4 linked regions of the Caenorhabditis elegans genome follow. The protein of the gene in region 1 purifies or fractionates together with the protein of each later gene. This does not show direct contact. Each region holds a gene or a part of one and is shown in the gene's direction. Other genes may lie near its edges.

Region 1 (4,134 bases):
GATTGCTCAAGGGACAATCAATGGATCCATCGAGTTGGCAGAAACAGTCACATTCGTCGTTGCTCTCGAATTCAGAGCTCATGTACGAGTTCATGAGTAAGTTTTTTAAAAAATTGAGAATTTAAATTATAGAAAATGAACCGTAATGAGCGAAAATAATTGTTTAAAAAATTATAATGATTTTCGGGAAATCAAAAACGATTTACCCGATTAAACTTTTTTGCAAAATTTAAAAAATCGTGTATTATATCTGGAAAAAGTGTGAATTTTTCAAAAATGACATATTTGGTCATTACGATTCATTTTCTGTCATTAAATTTTTGAAAAATGCTCTAAATACTAATTTTACTTATAACAATTTTATTATTATTTTACAGTGTTTTTTATTCTTCTTCTACGACTTCAAAGGCGCGCGCATTTATACGAAATGGTCTCACCACGCGCCACCCATTGATTTTAAAAAATGTCTTAATGCGCCTTTGAAGTCATAGATGAAAAATAAAAAATAGACTGTATAAAATACTTATTTGTGTCATATATTTAACTTTTTAAAACAATATTTTTCAGCTCACAACTACCGCCCAGGAGAGCAGGATGCATATTTAGATGCTTTTGGAAAGTATAAAAACGAAATGAATCAAAAGAATCCATCAATTGAACTTGTTGGATCATGGACATGTGCTTATGGAAGAACTCGTGATCAGGCAATTCATCTGTGGAGACATAACAAAGGTTATGAAGATGTTGATTCATCGATTTCTCTTCATGGAAAAGATTCTGGAATCCGTGCAGCTGATAATGACGTTGCTAAACTGTGTGGTCGCCGCAAGAATCTCATAGTAAAATCATTCAGCTATTGGAGAGAACCAGAACAACGACCACCAAATCATGTTTATGATCTTCGTTCATATGTTCTTCAACCTGGAACTATGATTGATTGGGCATCTGCATGGGCAAAAGGAATTCAATACAGACGTGAGGCGAATCAAGATGTTGGAGGATTCTTTGCTCAAGTTGGACAACTCTATGTTGTCTATCACATTTGGGCTTATCCATCAATGTCAGGCCGTAACGATACGAGACATGCTACTTGGGCAAAGCCAGGATGGGATGCAACTGTTGCGAATACTGGTTAGTCTGAAATTTGTCTTCTCGAATAATACAAATGAAAAACAAAAAATTGAGAAAAATTAAACAAACTTTTTTGTCAAATTTTAGAAAAAACCCGAAATTTCTGACTTTCCCGCGGGAAACCGGATTTTTGATTATTTTTTACACACTAAAATCTAGAAAATTTCGATTTTTTCTTGTTTTTCCTAATTTTCAAACAAAATGCCATAGGATTTTGAAATTTTCGCAACAAAAAACCGAAAAAATAACCTAAAAATCAGATTTTCTGTTATTTTTAACGGAAACAAATATTTATTTTTTCAGTGCCTCTCATCAAGAAGATGCAATCGAAAATTTTGACTCCAACCAAATATTCTCAACTGGAATAAACATTTCTCATGTTTGTCATAATTCACAAATTGAGAAATTGAATAGGTTAATATAGAAGAAATGCTTGTACGTTTTAATTTTGCCACACACATTTTCATTTTCAAATAGTCAATCGTATATTATATGTACTGGTGTCTGTGCTAATTTTAATTTCTTCCCCTCTCCCGCGTTTTCTCATGTATATTATTTTCCCCTCGAGTTTTTTCCCCACCACATTTTGGTTTCCAGTCTCTTTATAAATATTGCATATACTATTTTATTTTCACTGTTCATTTTTTTTTCACGCGGTTATATTACTTTTTCCGCCATTTGTATCTATTCTAAAAAGTTATTTATTCTGTTCATTTCGTAAACTTGAACTTCTAGAAACTTCATCAATGTCTCGTAATCCATTCGATGATGACTACAGGCCGAGTGCTGCTTCTTCTACAAGTGAGTTTTTAATTCTATTTTTTTACAAATCCATCAGAAAATTTAAAAGCATTATCTAGTACGGAAAAATTCTAGAAAATTGATTTTTCTCTGTTTCAGTGCCCGTAAAAAGTTACACTACGATGGGACATTATTCCGGAGAAGACGAAGCAGACTACTACGAGCGTGAAATCGAGAAAACTCTGCAGGAATCATTGGATAGTACGGAAAGATCTCGTCGTCATCTCGAAAATTCGGAGAAAATCGGAACGTCGACTGCTCAGCAGTTGCTTGAGCAACGGGAGAAGCTTGAGAATACTGAAAAGAATTTAGATGAGATTCATCGAACCACGCAAATGACACAACGCAATTTGAATAGTTTGAAGTCGTTTTTCGGTGGAATGTTCAAAAATAAATTCACGAAGAAACCGCAAGAGCCGACGGAAACTCCGACTGTGAGTTTAACTTTTAAACTGGAATTTTTGTATTCAGAAACTACAAAGTACTATAGGATTTCTGTAGTCTCAAAGAACACGAGTTTTGAGTTTTTGGAGAGTTGATAAATTTCTAATATTAAAAAATGGAGCATTGTTTTTGAATAAAGAAAGCGTTCAAAATCTTACATAATTTTAGTAGAATATAACATTTGGAACTACTGGAATCATTTTATTTTCGATATAAAAATTAATAATTTTCCGAGAATATACCATAATACGTCATAAAATTGATATATTTATAGGTCCCGCAATCCAAATCAGCATCCCGTTTGTCGGAAACCGCTACCAACCTCTCCAGCGGTGGTGGATCCGCAACATTCTCTGGACCATCTGGACAACGAACCTTGACCGAATCTAGTCGTTCGGCAATTAAAGGTACACGTTGGGAAGCTATGGATAATCAAATTGATGAGAATCTTGACATGATGTCCGCCAATCTTCGGAACTTGCAACGTCTTGGAGCCGATCTCGGAAAAGAGGTCGATTCACAAAATGAGATGCTCGATCGTATTCAATACAAAGCTGAACGTAACGATGGAATTGTTAGAGATCAGGATAAACAAGTAAGGATAAACAAGATACACGATAAATATATTAAGAGTTAACTCAACTAACTGACATATTTTCAGATGCAAAAGATTCTGGGAACTGGTGCATCAACAAGCCAAACTACAGCCGAGTCTCTGACCCCAAGCATGGATACTTCGACAAAGATGTCTCTCATGATGAAGGCCACGTCTTTGTGGAAATGATTGATTTTTTACTTTTTTTTCTTCCGGCTCACCGTCCTCTAGTGCAACAAAAACACTTCAATTCCCCTAAACTTACCTTATTTAAAAGTTTATTTCTTGTTCCAACACTCCACTTAGAGTTAAATCTCTGAACTTGAATCTAACACGTTTCTATCATTTATGTTCTTTCTTTGAGAAAATTGGTTCATAAATTGATGTGAAAAAAATTAGAAAAAAAAAAGAAAAATGTGATAGATCCAACCTCGAATTCCCCTTTGAACTTTCTATATTAACTTTAAATGTATAATCTGGATGCTTTTGTGTGTGGATGTCGCTTGTGAATATGTACATGAATATTGATTCCATGGAAATTGTCTTCATTTTTAAGTAACAGTCTTGAGGGGAAATATTATGACATTCATAAATATTAGGAAGAATATGTATTTACATTATGAGAATTCGTTCAGAAAAGCAAGAGGCGACTGTTTTTTGAGTTGTGAAATGTATTTTTGTGACGTATAGATTTTTGAGATGGACTAGAAAACTGGAAAAAGTTTTGGCTAAGACCACCGGGAATTTTAAGAAATGGAAAATGAAATGGTTAGAATGAGAGAGGATCAGAGAACGCGAGAAGAAAAATATTGGGAGATTGGATGAAATGGAAATATTTGCTTTGTTTTAATACAAAAGTGATATTATGGAGGCGTAGAAAATGAGAACTTTTGAATCGAGGTGCAACTGCGCTCCATTGGCAAATGAAAACGCTCCGCCCTCAACAGTTCGGTCTCGTTAGGAAAACCGAAAATTTGAACGTTTTTAAACATTCGATGTTGATGAAATTATTAAAATGATTGAAACGTTTAATTTCACATACATTTTTAACTATAACTGCTTGAAAAAGTTTGAATTACGGTTTTACCTAACGAGACCCAACGTTTAGGGGCGGAGAGTTGTTTATTTAGCCGTGGAACGTGCTTGCACTTTGATTTCAAACA
Region 2 (5,148 bases), on another chromosome or scaffold:
CTCAAATGCTTTAGTTAATTTTTTCAAAATAAAAAAATCAATTAAATCATATAAATTTTGAAAAATAGTGTACCAACAATGAAAGATCGATGAAATTAAAAAATTACAGTCCTCATTAGAGGCACACATCCGCTTGTATTTGACAAGAAGTGTCGTGTCGAGACCGAGTTATGTGCTTTTAGCGCGAAAATTGCTAAATTTCGCATATGGCATATAATTGCATCTACATTTACTTTAACCAAACTAATTTTCATACGTACACTTGCACTTACTCTTCATCGTGTACTTCTTTTTCTTCAGCAAACTTTGCTCCTTGAGCTTCTAGCACTAAAATTTAATAATTTATAAACATTAGAAAGTTATAAACAGATTTGCATACCTAATAGAAGGAATACAGTTGAGATGAATAAAAATCCACGCATTATAGAGTGGGAATATGTATAAAATCAATAGAAATAGACAGAAAACTCTTTTTCTCAAGACTGCCAAATGTCAATATTTTATTATCAGTCTCCCCCTGCTTCGCCTTTTAGTTCCAACGCAAAATTTGGTAGTGCAAAAGCAAAAGCAAACATGAATTTTATTGTTACAGGTGCTAAATACAAATTTTCATTTGTTTTTATTCGATCTCAACTAACTATAAGATAAACCAATAAATTATGCTTTTTACAAATGGGTTTCGAAAAATCATCACAACTTGAGAAATGATGGGGAAAATGCAAAATTGGAAAAATAACTAAAGTTGTAGGACTGGGAAATGGGGAGGGTGTCTGACTATTATGTACCAGTTAAAGTGTTAAAAGTGACGAGGATAGTATGATAAAATGATTTGTTACAGCAGTCGATATAACCCATCAAAAGACGTAGAATGTTAATAAAACATTGAAAACTTTGGAAACGAGGAATTGGAAATTATGGCTATTAATTAGATCGTTGTCCTAATCAGAATTCTCGATTATTGTGTGCCACCAGCTTTCTGCATTTGTTCCTGGTGAGATCTTGCTTGATCTTCTCGAAGCTTTTGTGCTTTGAGGAACTCTCCGTAGTCGATGAAGCCATCAGCATTGAAATCGTCGTCCCTGAAAATATTCAGTAAAGTATTTTTTTAAGACTTTGAATATTTTAGTGCTTTCTTATGCTAATTGCTAGCAGTAGTCTCTAGAAAATAAATTAATTAAATATATATCTCACTTTAAAATACTATCAATCATCGTCTCCAATTCAACTTCACTTGGGAGTGGTGGTGGCTGATGATTGGCATTGGCATTATTTTGTGTATGCTGTGGTCCTGGATTCTCGGCATGGAAATGCGTTATTGCCTTAATCAACTCGACTCCATCCAGTTTCCCATTTTTATCTAAATCGTGCATATTGAAATAATGGAATTGAAGTTGTTCTGGCGTCATGTTAGCAGTTGGGTCCACTTTTCCGTCCAAATGTTCTTTTATGTGGCTGAAATGTTTTAAATTAATTTTGAAAATTGTTATTAAAACTTACTGTTCATCTCTGGCCTGTTCTCCACCAAACTGCTGTTGCCCAGGCTGAGCATGTTGAGCTTGTTCCGCTTGGCCACCCTGATTTATTCAATACAATTTACAAAATTAAAGAAGCTTTAAAATAATAAAAATCACTGTATCCAGATTGTTTTTCAGTTCAATTTCTAGCGAAAATAATTTTCTTATTATTCTTTACAAACATTGTTTACCTGTTGTGGTTGCTGTTGATTAGAACCAGGAAACTGCTGTGGTTGGTGGGCAAAGGAACCAAGAATGAGGCAAGATACCACCAAAATGTTGGCTGCCATTCCTGTAATATTATAATCACTAAAATATAGACAAAACTAAGTAAGAATACAGAAAACGGAATCAAAAACGGAAGCGTGAAGTGGAAGCTGTTATTTTATTTGTGTCGATTTACGGGGAGATACGGTAATCGGGAGGCAACGTGTTCCAAATCTTACGGTAATCGCTGAAATTTCTTAAAACAATAAATCGAAACGAAAAGTTATGTGTATTTTTTTAATAAAATTAACTTGACTGAGCATTTTGGTTGAGAAATATAAAACTTAAACTGAAAATTAAACAAAAAAAAAAGAAAAACTAGTGCATTGAGGAGCGTGTTTGTTGCGCATAAAATACGCAACGCCACGCACAACCTCCGACCACACATTGATTTTCTTCTCCACGAAGTCGAGCCGGTTTAGTGGACTGTTGCGACAATGCAGCGAAATATTTGTTATTTGTTTTTCTTTTGAAATAATATTTTTACCGTGACATTTGAATATATTAATCTTTTCGACGCTTTCAGTCATTTAAACAATATTTTTCAGTTTGTTCGATGTCGGATGTCGGACTTTCACAACATTAGATCTCGTCGACGAATACCAGAAGCCAGTTCTTACTCAACAGTCGATTTTGATTACGATCCAGATCAGAAGAATCACACTTCAGCAGTTGCTCCGACTAGTTTCGCGTATAGCTCTCTCACAACCGTTTTCAACGCGTCAGCTTCACAACTTTGGAATTCTGCGCAGGTTTGTCTATCGGAACGAAGAAAGATGGCTATCTGTATATTTCTGGTTTTTATTTTTTCATGCATATATCTTTCAGGAGGCGCTTGTATCCTCCTACGACACAGCGGAAGGCACTGAAAGCATAGACGCAGATCGATCAAAGGTAGTAGAAACACTTGAATCGCTGAGTATTTTTGGAAATCCACTTGATCATATCATTATCACAATGCCATCAAGAGATCGAACTTCGGAATTCCGGGCGACAGCCAAATCATACGAAGTGAGTTTTTTCATTAAACTTCTAAAAATAAGCTTTTATTTCGAAACATTTACTTTTAAAACGTGTTATTCGGGTTTCACATCAACATTTGGACGAGACGAATATATCGATTTTTGCGAAACTCGAAATACACTTCGAACAGAAAAAAGAAACACGAATCACCTGTTAATATTTTTAAAAACATTCTAGGCGATAATATTTTTATTATTTATATAAAATTCGGGTAACATATAATTTTTCAGATGAAAGCAGCCGCAAATGGAATTAGACCTCAACCAAAGCATGAGATGCTATCTGAATCCGTGCAGTTCAATCAACTCGCAAAGCGAATCGGAAAAGAATTGAGTCAAACGTGTGCAAAAATGGAAAAACTTGCCGAATATGCTAAGAAAAAGAGCTGCTATGAAGAACGATCTCAAATTGACCATCTTTCATCAATTGTCAAGTCTGACATTACGGGTTTGAACAAACAGATCGGACAACTTCAAGAATTTTCAAAAAGACGTGCAGGAAACATGAAAAATCAAAATAGTGGACATATACAATTAGTTGTAGTTGGATTGCAGTCAAAATTAGCGAATGTCGGAAAAGATTATCAAAGCGTACTGGAAATTAGTACAGAAACAATGAAGGCTGAAAAAAATCGCCGAGATAAATTCTCGAGTGGTGCAGCAGTTCCAATGGGACTTCCTTCCTCCTCTTCCGGAGCTAATGGTATTTTATTTTCCTCGCTCATTCAATAAAAATCTGAAATTTTAGTTCGTTCAAAGCTTCTTCAAGATGATGAGCAGCATGGCTCCTCAAGCATAGCTCTGGATATGGGTGCTCTGTCAAACATGCAATCACAACAGACTATGGTAAGTTTTCAATTTGAAAAATATGAAATTTTTTTTGAAAAACTATCAATATTAAATTTCCAATGCTCCGTGTTTAGGAGAAGTACAGTGAAACTTTTTTTAAAAATTAATATTTTTTGCCAATAAAGCAAGTTTTATCGAAACTAATTTAGAACAGCAAAGAATACATTTGAAAAATTGCGATGTTACAAAAAATTTGTAAGATTTCTATGATTTTAGTTAGGAAATGTTAATATTTTCTTTGGAATTCGTTTTTTTCTTTAAAAATTTAAAAATTATATTTCTAATAGTATTAACCAAAAATTATGACTTGATAGAATATTGTAGACATTTTTGAGCGTTTATTGAAAACATAAAAATCGTGAAAACTGTAAATTGCTCAAAAATCAAACAAAAAAATAGATAGAATATAGTTAGTTTTTTTAAACACTTTCCAAGAAACAAATATTTTCAGCAACAAAGAGATTCATCATTGGAATATGCGCAAGCCCGTAGCAACACCATGGCGACAATTGAAGGATCCATCTCCGAACTTGGCCAAATTTTCTCTCAACTGGCTTCACTCGTCAGTGAGCAAGGAGAGATGATAACAAGAATCGATTCAAATGTTGAAGATACAGCTCTTAATATTGATATGGCACATTCAGAGCTTGTGAGATATCTTCAAAATATTAGCAAAAATCGATGGTTAATGATTCAAGTTTTTGGAGTTCTCATGGTTTTCTTTGTTGTATTTGTTCTTTTCCTCACCTAAACATTTCCATTTTTCATTGGTTCTTTTTTTTTCCGTGATTGCTGACTTGTTTGAATGTGTCTATTGTAAAAAAAGTGGAAAAGTAAATTCAAATTGCTTCTCCTATCACCTATAATCATTATTTTCCTCTACTATTATTTCCATGAATTAGCTTTTACTTCTCTGTCTTGACCCGGAAATTGATGGTAGAACTCCGCCTGTGATTAAAATCTTCTCTATTTTTAGCATAAAGCTTTTTAAATTTTAATCAAAACTATTCATATTATTTCTTATATTCATGGTATTTTGAACCAACTCTTACTTCTTATTATTATTATTATTGTAATTTTTTGGTTCATAATTATTTTCAGATCCCTCGGAATTCAGATGAGGGTATCAGCTGGACTAATGATTGGTGGCTCGTGTGTGGCGACTGCGGCCACCATACTCAACGCGTTCCTGATCAACAAACAGTTCTATCCATCAATCGTATATCTCTCAAAAAGCAATGCAAGTATGGCAGTGATATATGTTCAAGGAATTGTTCTTGTATATCTCATGTTCCAATTGCTCAAGTCTATTTTATTCGGAGATTTGAGAGCTGCAGAGGCTGAGGTAATTTTCAATATTAAATCAGTACTGAACATAAATAAATTTCAGCATCTGTCAGAACGTACATGGCATGCAGTTCTGGAAACATGTCTCGCATTCACTGTATTCCGTGATGATTTCTCAGCAATATTCGTTATGCAATTTATTGGTCTTC
Region 3 (5,440 bases), 1.6 Mb from region 1:
CGCGTGGGGTTCTTTTCAGTTTCTCTAGTGATATCTCGATTCACAATACTATCTCACTTTCACAAGACCAACGGGGATACCCCGTGGTCGACAAAGTGGGGGGAGTTGAGAGTGAAGAGACGCAGAAAAGATAGACAAACTGGAAGAAGATGAAGAAAAAGGACGATGTAGAAAAGAGGACTTGCTCTTTTTCAAGAGAAAAAGGACAGCTTCTCTATTCTCTCTATTACCCCACGCACACTTTTCAAATTATGCGTACTTTGGGTTTTATTCATATTATATTGCCACGTTTGGGTTTTACCGTACTACTGAAAATTTATTTTAATCTTTAGAGTCTCTCTAGTGCCGCGAGTGACTCGTGTCGAAAATGACGTCACTGCTGTGTGTGCTCTGTGTTTGTGCTTTTGCTTAGGAAAACAATAGGAAACATTATCAAAATTCTAAGATATTTGTTTTTTATAAAGTAAATGAGAATATAGTTTCTCTATTCAACCCATCAGAAGCATTACAATCATTTGGTCTTTGTTTTGTTTTTATTTACTTTCCCACTTCGTTTGAACACTGATGTCTTCCGTTCTTTCACTTTTCTTGACCAAAATCTAGAAATTGCAAAAGTGATCTCTGATCTTCGAATTCTATATTCTGGTCCAATGGAGGATTGATGTTTAATGTTTAGAGAGCAAGAAACATTTTCCAGTTCCTACTTCATTTCCTGGTTTTGATGCGTATAGCATTTCCATGTACTAAGTGTTAAAACACTCACTGGAAAAAGAAAGAATAAATACGTTTTCTGCAAAATCTGTTATATAAAACACGAGAAATTCTATCTGGTGAAGGTTTTCAATTCAAAAATTTCCGAAACTCTGCTTTTCAGAAAATGTTTCCAAATTTACAATGTCCTCTGTAGTTCCAAGTCACAGTTTGATTATTTTCCTGCTAACTCTTTCTTTTCACAAAATCTGAGTTTTCTTACTTATATGAAATTTTCTTTATAATCAAGGGGTATATCTAACAAGGAAGCAAACTATACTCGAAAGAAAGTTTAAATTGCTCCTGCCACGTATCGAGCTCAATAAAGAATCAAATTCCGTTTTACGAGTAGAGATTCAAAGTTCACAAATGACATCAATTCTCGCTTTTCCCCTCTTTTCCTCACTCTCTTTGCCGCCATCATTCTTTTTAATTCTCTCACATGTTTTTCGTGTTTTTTGCTTTTAGATATGATACGGTCTTTTGATACTAATATTGTTTTGAATTCAAATTCTGTATTGGATACGGTACTTTTCATATTACAAAATTTATAAGAGCAAAATGCATAAGAGTAAAAATTTATTTTAATTGTAAGTAATAATTTCAATTGACTAAAATCAGAGTTTTGATTTCAAAAAGCTCTATTAACTCCAGGGTACTGGAAAAAACCAAGCACGTGCCTAATGGAAATTGAGATTAATTGAACGGAGATTTGTAGAAGATTATATTCTCGTGTAGCAGGGATTATTGAGATTTAGGAAGCTTGTATTTTCAGCACTGACCCAGCTCTTATGATGTATATTTTATGAATTTTCTCAAATGCTGAACAATTTTCGGATTTTCTTTTATTTTTTTTTAATCTTAAAACATTTTAAAAATAAATATTCATTGCCACTCTAAAATATTGAACGAATTCAAAAGCCGCGACATTCCTAGCCTGCTATACCCCAATCCCGTTCCATCTTTTTACGGGCCATTTTCCGGCTTCCCTCAAGGCCAATCATGGTCTGTTCATCTATTTTTCTCTACCCTCCATTTCTTACATAATCTCTTTTTCTTATCTCTGCGTCTCTTGTCTCTAATCGTATCAGAACATACACTTGAAGGGCCGATAGGAAGAGGTTTTAGAGAAATCAGAGATAGTAGGTAGAGTGTGGAGACCCAGGCAGTGGTCTTTGGCATCTCTTTTACGTCTCTTCACTCTCTCACTATTTTCGTTCTTTTTCCACTTTTGTTGAATTTTTCGTCTTGTTGTTCCCTCTTGAATTTAAATTTCAGTTTTCTTGAAATTATTTTCTTTTTTGGCTTTTTCTTGTTTCCAATAGTTCAATTTCCAAATTTCAGAATTATATCGAATGGATTAGACGATGGAGAAGCCCAATTACTTTCAGTCGTATAATAAGGTTAACAATTATTTTTTGTTTTCAAATAGAAAATAAAATTGTATTCAAATTTTTTCTAATTAAAAATATTAAAAATATAATTACAAAAAAAACTATTTCGGAACTGAGACTTTCCAACACTGTAAAGTTGAAATTTAACTATTTTTTCTCCTTTATTCTTCAATTCCTTACTAATTCTATTTAAAAGCTTCAGGTGATAGGAGCAACCGGAGAGCAATTGGCTCCCGGAGCAGTACCTCCACATCCTGTACTTGCACCATCAATTGCTCCTGGAGGAGTTGCTGGAGTATCGGCAGCAAACATGGCCAACATTATGCAGACTCCTGGTTTCGCGAATCTCGTTCAGCAGGCTATTCGAACGGTTTGTTAAACAAAAAACATTAAAAATTAAACAAAATTTTAAGGTTTGAAAAGCAGACCAAAAAATTTATCAAACAGAAAATAAACCTAACATTTCTAAAATAGATTACCCAGACGCGAAATTTAGCGATTTTTGTGCTTAAAATACAGAACCCGGTCTCGAAACGACATATATTGATTAAAGTCGAAAAGGTGTGCGCCTTTGAGGAGTACTGTAGTTTCAAATTTTCATTACTGCGAAATTGTCTTGTTTTTTAAATACATTTGAGCTTTTTTTAAAAATTAATAAGTATATTTTCTCGCATTTAATAAACATTTTGCGTGGTGAGACCAGGTAGTTTTTTCTTAAAATATTACCCGAAAAACTCAAAAATCGAGCTAAAATTTTCTAAATGATGAAACATATGTGTAAATACATAAATGTCCTTTCGATTTTATTTTATAGAATAAATGCAATAAAACAAATAAGTGATAAAAAGTTTAAATTATTCAGAACAAAACTTTTTATGCACCAAAAACATGAAAAACAAGAATAAGTCATTTTAATAAATGACGTGATATGCATTCTCTCGTTCTCTTACTGGACATGATGATGATGATGATCTAGAGACTAACATATAAATAGAAACAGACATTGGTCGTATACAAAATTGAGAGAAAAAGAGAAAAAACCGGTTAGATATTAAAGGGGGAGTAGAGTTTGTGGGGAAATATATGTTTCTGACTCTGATTTTGCCCCTGATGCCGAATATCGATGTGAAAAAATTCAAAAAAATTTCCCTGATTTTATAATAATTTTTAAAATCCGAAAATTCATTGGATGCCTATATGTGAGTTTTCAAACGTTGAATTTTCCCGCCAGAGACGCCCCGCCCACGAATCCGTGCCGCAAGTGTGGGTTTACGAGATGAAAATTTTCCTTCTATTTTTATTTGATTTTATACCGATTTTCGTCGATTTTTCTCATTTTTTCGCTGTTTTATATTGAAATTTTTGTTATTTCTCTTAAATTATGCCTTTCTATTGATAAAATACAAAAAATTCCATGGAAAATTCCATTTTCAGCACAAATTCGACGGGAAACAAGGTGGAGGCAACCGCGGACAATAAATCTATTACTTATTCGTGTGTAATGCTTTAGTTTTTTAGACAAGACAAGTAAATTTATTATAAGACTGTTTATATTCAATAAACTTTACAAAAAAACATTTTTGGGAAAAAAAACTACAAAAATCGAAGATAGTCCTCGGGAGCGCGACGAATCAACGTGTTCCGGATAACTGAAATGTTAAATGTTTGTATTAATGTGGAGAACTTTCGTTATTGAGATTTGTAAAGAGACTATTGATAAGCACTAGGATTAAAATAGGAAGTTTAATTTAATTTATTACGATAGTAAGATATTTGCCGAATAAATCGACATACTGATGATTTTTAGGATGTTTTAGGCTTAATTATTTAGCGATTCTTACTTTTCAATTGTTTTTTAAATAATATTTTCTATAAGAAGTACTCACTTTCCAAAAAATCGTCGTGTCTCCGCGATTTTCCTCATTTCCCGTCGAATTTGTGCTGAAAATGGAATTTTTCATGGAATTTTGTGTATTTTATCAATAGAAAGGCATAATTTAAGAGAAATAACAAAAATTTCAATATAAAACAGCGAAAAAATGAGAAAAATCGACGAAAATCGGTATAAAATCAAATAAAAATAGAAGGAAAATTTTCATCTCGTAAACCCACACTTGGGGCACGGTTTCGTGGGCGGGGCGTCTCTGGCGGGAAAATTCAACGTTTGAAAACTCACATATAGGCATCCAATGAATTTTCGGATTTTAAAAATTATTATAAAATCAGGGAAATTTTTTTGAATTTTTTCACATCGATATTCGGCATCAGGGGCAAAATTAGAGTCAGAAACATATATTTCCCCACAAACTCTACTCCCCCTTTAAGAGAGTATTGAACTTTTGGGTCAAGAGAACCTTCAATTGATATATTCTTTTTGCCACATTTGTCACTTTTTCATTATCATCTCAATCTTGTAACCCTAGCTGCCTATCTTAGTGGAGAATGTTTCAAAGAAAAATGGTTCGATTTAGAAAGGTTTGAGCTTTTTTGGTTTTTTTTATGGCGGTTCAAAATTGTGAAAAAGTTTTTCGAAACTTTGAACCGCCATAGAACATTTTTGAAAAGGTATTGAGAATTTTCATTATGAAAATCGTTCATTTGAGCACATTTTAGGTAAAATTACATACAAAATACTCTGAACCGTTAGTCCTCCTTTAAATTAAATTTTGAAAATTTCTGAAATATTGTAGAATGCCAATTGTTTAAGCCTAATTAATAATATTCAGCAACTCGAAAATCAAGCGGCACAGCAGTTAGCAGTCAACCAGCAATTTCAATTAAATGGAGCAACTGCTGTACAACAACAACTTCTTTTGACACCTCAACAGTCACTTGCTCAACCAATTGCTCTTGCACCACAACCTACTGTCGTTTTAAATGGAGTCAGTGAAACATTAAGTGAGTTTTGAGTTTAATTTTGAACAATTGAAAATATAAATTGGTTTACAGAAAAAGTCACTGAATTGGCTCATCGGCAGTTTCAATCAGGAAATTATGTGGAAGCAGAGAAATATTGCAATTTGGTTTTTCAAAGTGACCCAAATAACTTGCCAACGCTATTGCTCCTCTCAGCCATCAATTTCCAAACTAAAAATTTGGAAAAGTGAGTTTTTACTCCAGTGTTTCTTTTTATGGACATCTATTTTCAGATCAATGCAATATTCAATGTTAGCCATCAAAGTCAATAATCAGTGTGCAGAAGCCTACAGTAACCTTGGAAATTACTATAAAGAGAAAGGACAACTACAGGATGCACTTGAAAACTACAAACTAGCTGTTAAACTCAAGCCAGAATT
Region 4 (4,444 bases), on another chromosome or scaffold:
ATTTTCCCATTTGATGCTACTCCACCCAGATGTAACTATTAGGTCACCAAATAAGTTCCGGGTCAAAAATCATAACTTTGTTCGCTGCGTATCGATTTTTATGAAACTGAGGGAATTTATGTTCCAACCATGATCTTTCATTTGACAATAGTCACAAAAGTTTTTGACCACCCCAAGTGTTCTAACTCGGAGCCAATTTTTTCAGGCATTTTTCAGATCTCGGTTCTTTTCAGCTTTGAATTGAGGGTTGTGTTTGGATTTTGCTTTGTTTAGAATAGATTATTACAAACCGACAAAAGTTTGGAAAAAATCCATCCAAAAAAATTTTTTTTGGTTGGTCATCAAAAAATCTTCAAAAATTTTTTTGTCGAATAATAATATTGTTTATTTGTCACAAGAAAGAGTTACACCGGAAGATAAAAAAAAAGTAGAGATGTGTGAAACAGATGTGTGAACAAATAAGTGAAATGACCAGCCGGACCAGCCATAGTCCTGGAGGTCAAGTTGGGGGGAAGAGGGTGTCGAATGGAATAGAGCCTAGGCGCGACGCAAATGCATTTGGAGAAAATTCTTGATTTTTCCTACAAAAATGATGTAACCAAGTGTAAACTATTTTTACACATAAAAGTCATTTGAGTTTGAAGTTTGAATCTCAAGAAATATTCAAAAAACTCAAAAATTATCCGAAAAAATTATTTTTTTCTATTACCATTTTAGTGTTTCGAACTAAACTGATATGTTTTGTATGTGTAAAAATAGTTTACACTTGGTTACATCATTTTTGTAGGAAAAATCAGGAATTTTCGACAAAAAATTTTTTCGAAGATTTTTTGACGACCAACCAAAAAAATTTTTTTGGACGGATTTTTTTCCAAACTTTTGTCGTTTTCTAATAATGTATTCTTAACAAAGCAAAATCCGCACACAACCCTCAATTCAAAGCTGAAAAGAAGCGATATCAGAAAAATGCCTGAAAAAATTGGCTCCGAGTTAGTGCACTTGGGGTGGTCAAAAACTTTTGTGACTATTTTCAAATGAAAGACCATGGTTGATAACATAAATTCCCACAGTTTCATAAAAATCGATAAGCAGCGAACAAAGTTATGATTTTTGACCCGGAACTTATTTGGAGACCTAATACTAACCATATTAATTCAATAAATTTATTTGAGAAGATCTTCAGGTGAGTAAATTTAATTTTAATTGGAAAAGTATAAAAGTTGCTTGTTTCTGTTTTTTATTTCCACTTGAACTGTCATGGTTGGAAACAAGGTGATGTGAAGTAATAGCAACTTGAAGATAATCTTAATTATTTCTAGCCAATATTTTGAGTCGACACAGCAAATTTTGTCCTCGACAGGCCACCCAAACCAGCTGTGATGACACCTTTTGTCTGGTGTAAACACTATTTATCTCTCTTATCTCTTCTATTATATTTTTCTTTGTTGTTAATTGTGGGTGTCCATGACAACTTGGAACATTGCTTTATTCATGTTTTGTTTTGTCAACGAAAACATCAGATGTTAGGAAAAGGTGCATCTTATCTTTAAATTTGAAATAAACAACATGGTACAAAGAACATTTGAAATAATCTGGAAGAAAATTTTGAAACGGTTTGCTTAAATATGGAAATATTTTTTTGGAAAAATTGCAAAATAAATTTCAGATGTCTGGAAAATCAAATGTCGATTTCGCGAGGGACCAACCCAAGGAATGAGAGAGGTTCGTCGGGAACAAACGAGCAATGGAGAATTCCCGAAAGTTCAAAAATATTCTAGTTTAATTGTTTTCCAATTTTTGTGCTTTTTTTTTGCTTTAAGCTCCATAATCTTTAAATATTTGTTCAAAAAATCTCACAAAAGTCAAATAAAAAATTTCAATTTTTTAAAGCCAAAACTACAGTACGACGAGACTCCGATATACCGGAGGCGCGCCCTGTTTAGCGTAAACCATAATTGACTTTTTTTAAATTTAATCGTATTTTTGTTCTTTTTTCTCAAGCTTCGCTTAAATTTCAATGCCTTTCTAAAAAACGTTTCCTAAAAAACCACTATTTGCGTGTATCGCACTAAAATTCGATTGTTTTGGTAAAAATCGAAATTTCCAGAATGGCTACTCGGGACCGTCTATTCGAAATGCACCAAATCTCTGGAATCAACGCTGCAAGTCCGGAGAAAAACAATTCAAAGGTAGAATAAATGGAAACAACTAATATACAAGAAGATTTTTGACATAAATTATATTTTTCTTTCCAAAAACTTGAAAATAATGTTTTTTTTTCAGTTGGCAGACGTCTCATTGCAACAATTTCTGGCGAATGTCGACGAAATTCGTCATGTCTTGACTACGCTGAGCGCAGATCGACACGCAATTTACATGGAGCAGGTAAAGAGAGAAAAGAAACTGTGACAAATCAGAAATAATGCTCAAAAAATCCGAAGTTTGATTCCAATTTTAAAAATATTCGGAAAATCAAATATTTATTGAAAACTAATGTTTTTCTTTGTTTTTAACTAAAAGCTTTCACGAAAAAAAAAACAAAAAAAAACAAAAAAACAAAACATTAAAATTTTCGACTTTTAGCCAAATCATCCAAAAACCACTAATTGCAGGTAGAGTCACTGGCAGCCGGCTGTTCGGACACAGCAAAGTGCCGAAAACTCAACGACCACGTGGATAAGTTCATAGCTCAAGCACGTGGCATCCGTCGTCGGCTCGCTGACGCCTCAGAGGAGCTGGTACAGTATCCGGAGAGTCGAGTGGGCTCGGGGCGAGCAAGACACGAACAGGTGCTTAATTGTCTGAAAATAAACGAACTTAGATCTAAAATCGGTGACCAAATTTACACTAATTTTAATTCTTTTCAACCTTTTCTCGAAAAAAAAATCATAAATTTTAAATGAATAACCGAAACCGCTAATTCCTGATTTTTAAGATCCAAATGCTTATCGTCTCGCTGGAAGGAATAATGTCGCAGTTTGCTGATGATCAAGCCTCCTACAAAGCAGAGGCAGCAAAGAAGATTGCCGCATACCTCCGAAAGCAGAACATCGAGGTGACGGATTCGGAAATTGATGGTGCCATCGAAAACGGGAGCCTCTTTCAATTGACGAGAAACATTAATCTGGGTGTTGCGCAGAAGAAGGCACTATTCGATGATATGAAAAACCGCGCCACGGATATTATGATTTTGGAGAAACAAATTCGCGAGGTCGAAGAACTCTTTGTGGATATGCAATTATTGGTACAAAGCCAAGGTGAGTTATTGATGTTTTGTTAACTGAAACTCGCTTAATTAATACACATAGCTCTTGCCCTAAAATCTTTTCTTTCTTTCCCAATTTTACAAAATCTAGCGGGCATTAGAAAGGATTAAGATCTTCGAAAACAAGAGGTCCCAGTTTTGCTAGGCGCTCAGTACCTTCCCTGAAAAACCGCGAAGTATTAAATTTTCAGGCGAAACAGTGGACCGAATCGAGACGAGCGTGATACGCGCCGAAGAATATGCGGAGCAAGCCCAGCAGAACGTGCGGCAGGCTGTTGTGCTGCGTCGGAAGAACCGTAAATGGAAGATCGTTACGTGCATCGCGCTGATCGTGCTCCTGCTCGTTGTCGTCTACCTTCTCTCCCATTTCCTCGGTGCAATCATCCCGGGTTGGAAATAATGCTATTTTAATTCCTTCGGGTCTATTTTTTGTGATTTTTTTTCGATTATTTTTCCAAGTTTCTACAGTATTTATACGAATAAACGTTTTTCTGCCAATATCGGAACAGTTTTGGCTCACAAGCTCAATTTCAGAGCTAAATTGATGGAAACCCTAATTTTGACTAACTGGTAATTAAATAAAATTGAGAAATAGTCTAGATCGTAGGTTATTTTAAATATCAAATAAGTACATTGTTTTTCCTCATTGGTTTCCTCATTGTTCAGAGAGACCAAAAATGACCGTAGTTCATTGATTTTTTCATGAAAAGAGTTTCTCTTTTTGAGTAACAAAACGATTTCAATTAAAATAATTTTACTAAATAAAAATACAAAAACAATTGAAGATCATTAAATGAACTTTTGGATTTCATCGTAGATGGCAAGAACGAGTGCTCCACCAGTTCCACGGAATACATTTGACAGGGCTCCCTTGAACATGGCGGACATTCCTTCGTTTTTGATGATCTTGACGGCACAATCCAAAGTATTCTTGTAGAGAACATCTTTGCGACCAGACTGCATCATCATGCGACGACGAACAGTATCCCATGGATAGGAGAGGATTCCAGATCCAACAGTAACCACTTGAGCAATAGCCCAGGCAGCGAAGAAGTTGAGTTTCTTGCCATCAGCAGTGAACACCATCTTGGCAGTGTCGAACATTCCGAAGTAAGCGGCGCGGTAGATGATGATACCTTGTACCGAGACAAAGAAACCTCTGAAAAAATAATAATTTTT

The links.
Region 2: the proteins of snap-29 (region 1) and syx-5 purify together in Caenorhabditis elegans (affinity purification with western blotting, with the first as the bait; one study listed by BioGRID). This does not show direct contact.
Region 3: the proteins of snap-29 (region 1) and ogt-1 purify together in Caenorhabditis elegans (co-purification; one study listed by BioGRID). This does not show direct contact.
Region 4: the proteins of snap-29 (region 1) and syx-4 purify together in Caenorhabditis elegans (affinity purification with western blotting, with the first as the bait; one study listed by BioGRID). This does not show direct contact.

The regions. Positions count from the first base shown.
Region 1 is NC_003281.10:8,774,389-8,778,522, forward strand, and holds snap-29 (Soluble NSF attachment protein 29), read left to right. Parts: upstream 1-1,864; 5' UTR 1,865-1,877; coding exon 1,878-1,932; exon of another isoform or gene 1,933-1,988; intron 1,989-2,031; coding exon 2,032-2,366; intron 2,367-2,650; coding exon 2,651-2,971; intron 2,972-3,037; coding exon 3,038-3,160; 3' UTR 3,161-3,507; downstream 3,508-4,134. Other genes in the region: Putative NipSnap protein K02D10.1, read left to right, coding at 1-96, 568-1,131, 1,435-1,499. UniProt on the Caenorhabditis elegans protein: SNAREs, soluble N-ethylmaleimide-sensitive factor-attachment protein receptors, are essential proteins for fusion of cellular membranes.
Region 2 is NC_003283.11:11,762,575-11,767,722, forward strand, and holds syx-5 (Putative syntaxin-5), read left to right. Parts: upstream 1-2,329; 5' UTR 2,330-2,344; coding exon 2,345-2,533; intron 2,534-2,609; coding exon 2,610-2,792; intron 2,793-3,034; coding exon 3,035-3,506; intron 3,507-3,551; coding exon 3,552-3,649; intron 3,650-4,103; coding exon 4,104-4,403; 3' UTR 4,404-4,648; downstream 4,649-5,148. Other genes in the region: T04F3.4 (EF-hand domain-containing protein), read right to left, coding at 273-327, 380-422; F55A11.1 (EF-hand domain-containing protein), read right to left, coding at 956-1,079, 1,192-1,452, 1,498-1,574, 1,706-1,804; sel-11 (E3 ubiquitin-protein ligase hrd-1), read left to right, coding at 4,770-4,997, 5,043-5,148. UniProt on the Caenorhabditis elegans protein: Potentially involved in docking of synaptic vesicles at presynaptic active zones.
Region 3 is NC_003281.10:7,150,448-7,155,887, reverse strand, and holds the start of ogt-1 (UDP-N-acetylglucosamine--peptide N-acetylglucosaminyltransferase), read left to right. Parts: upstream 1-2,090; 5' UTR 2,091-2,117; coding exon 2,118-2,153; intron 2,154-2,346; coding exon 2,347-2,514; intron 2,515-4,870; coding exon 4,871-5,042; intron 5,043-5,093; coding exon 5,094-5,247; intron 5,248-5,293; coding exon 5,294-5,440. UniProt on the Caenorhabditis elegans protein: Addition of nucleotide-activated sugars directly onto the polypeptide through O-glycosidic linkage with the hydroxyl of serine or threonine. Influences tap habituation in the mechanosensory neurons cell autonomously.
Region 4 is NC_003282.8:8,455,173-8,459,616, forward strand, and holds syx-4 (Putative syntaxin-4), read left to right. Parts: upstream 1-2,107; 5' UTR 2,108-2,108; coding exon 2,109-2,189; intron 2,190-2,283; coding exon 2,284-2,385; intron 2,386-2,612; coding exon 2,613-2,789; intron 2,790-2,935; coding exon 2,936-3,257; intron 3,258-3,456; coding exon 3,457-3,665; 3' UTR 3,666-3,761; downstream 3,762-4,444. Other genes in the region: ant-1.4 (ADP/ATP translocase), read right to left, coding at 4,055-4,424. UniProt on the Caenorhabditis elegans protein: Potentially involved in docking of synaptic vesicles at presynaptic active zones.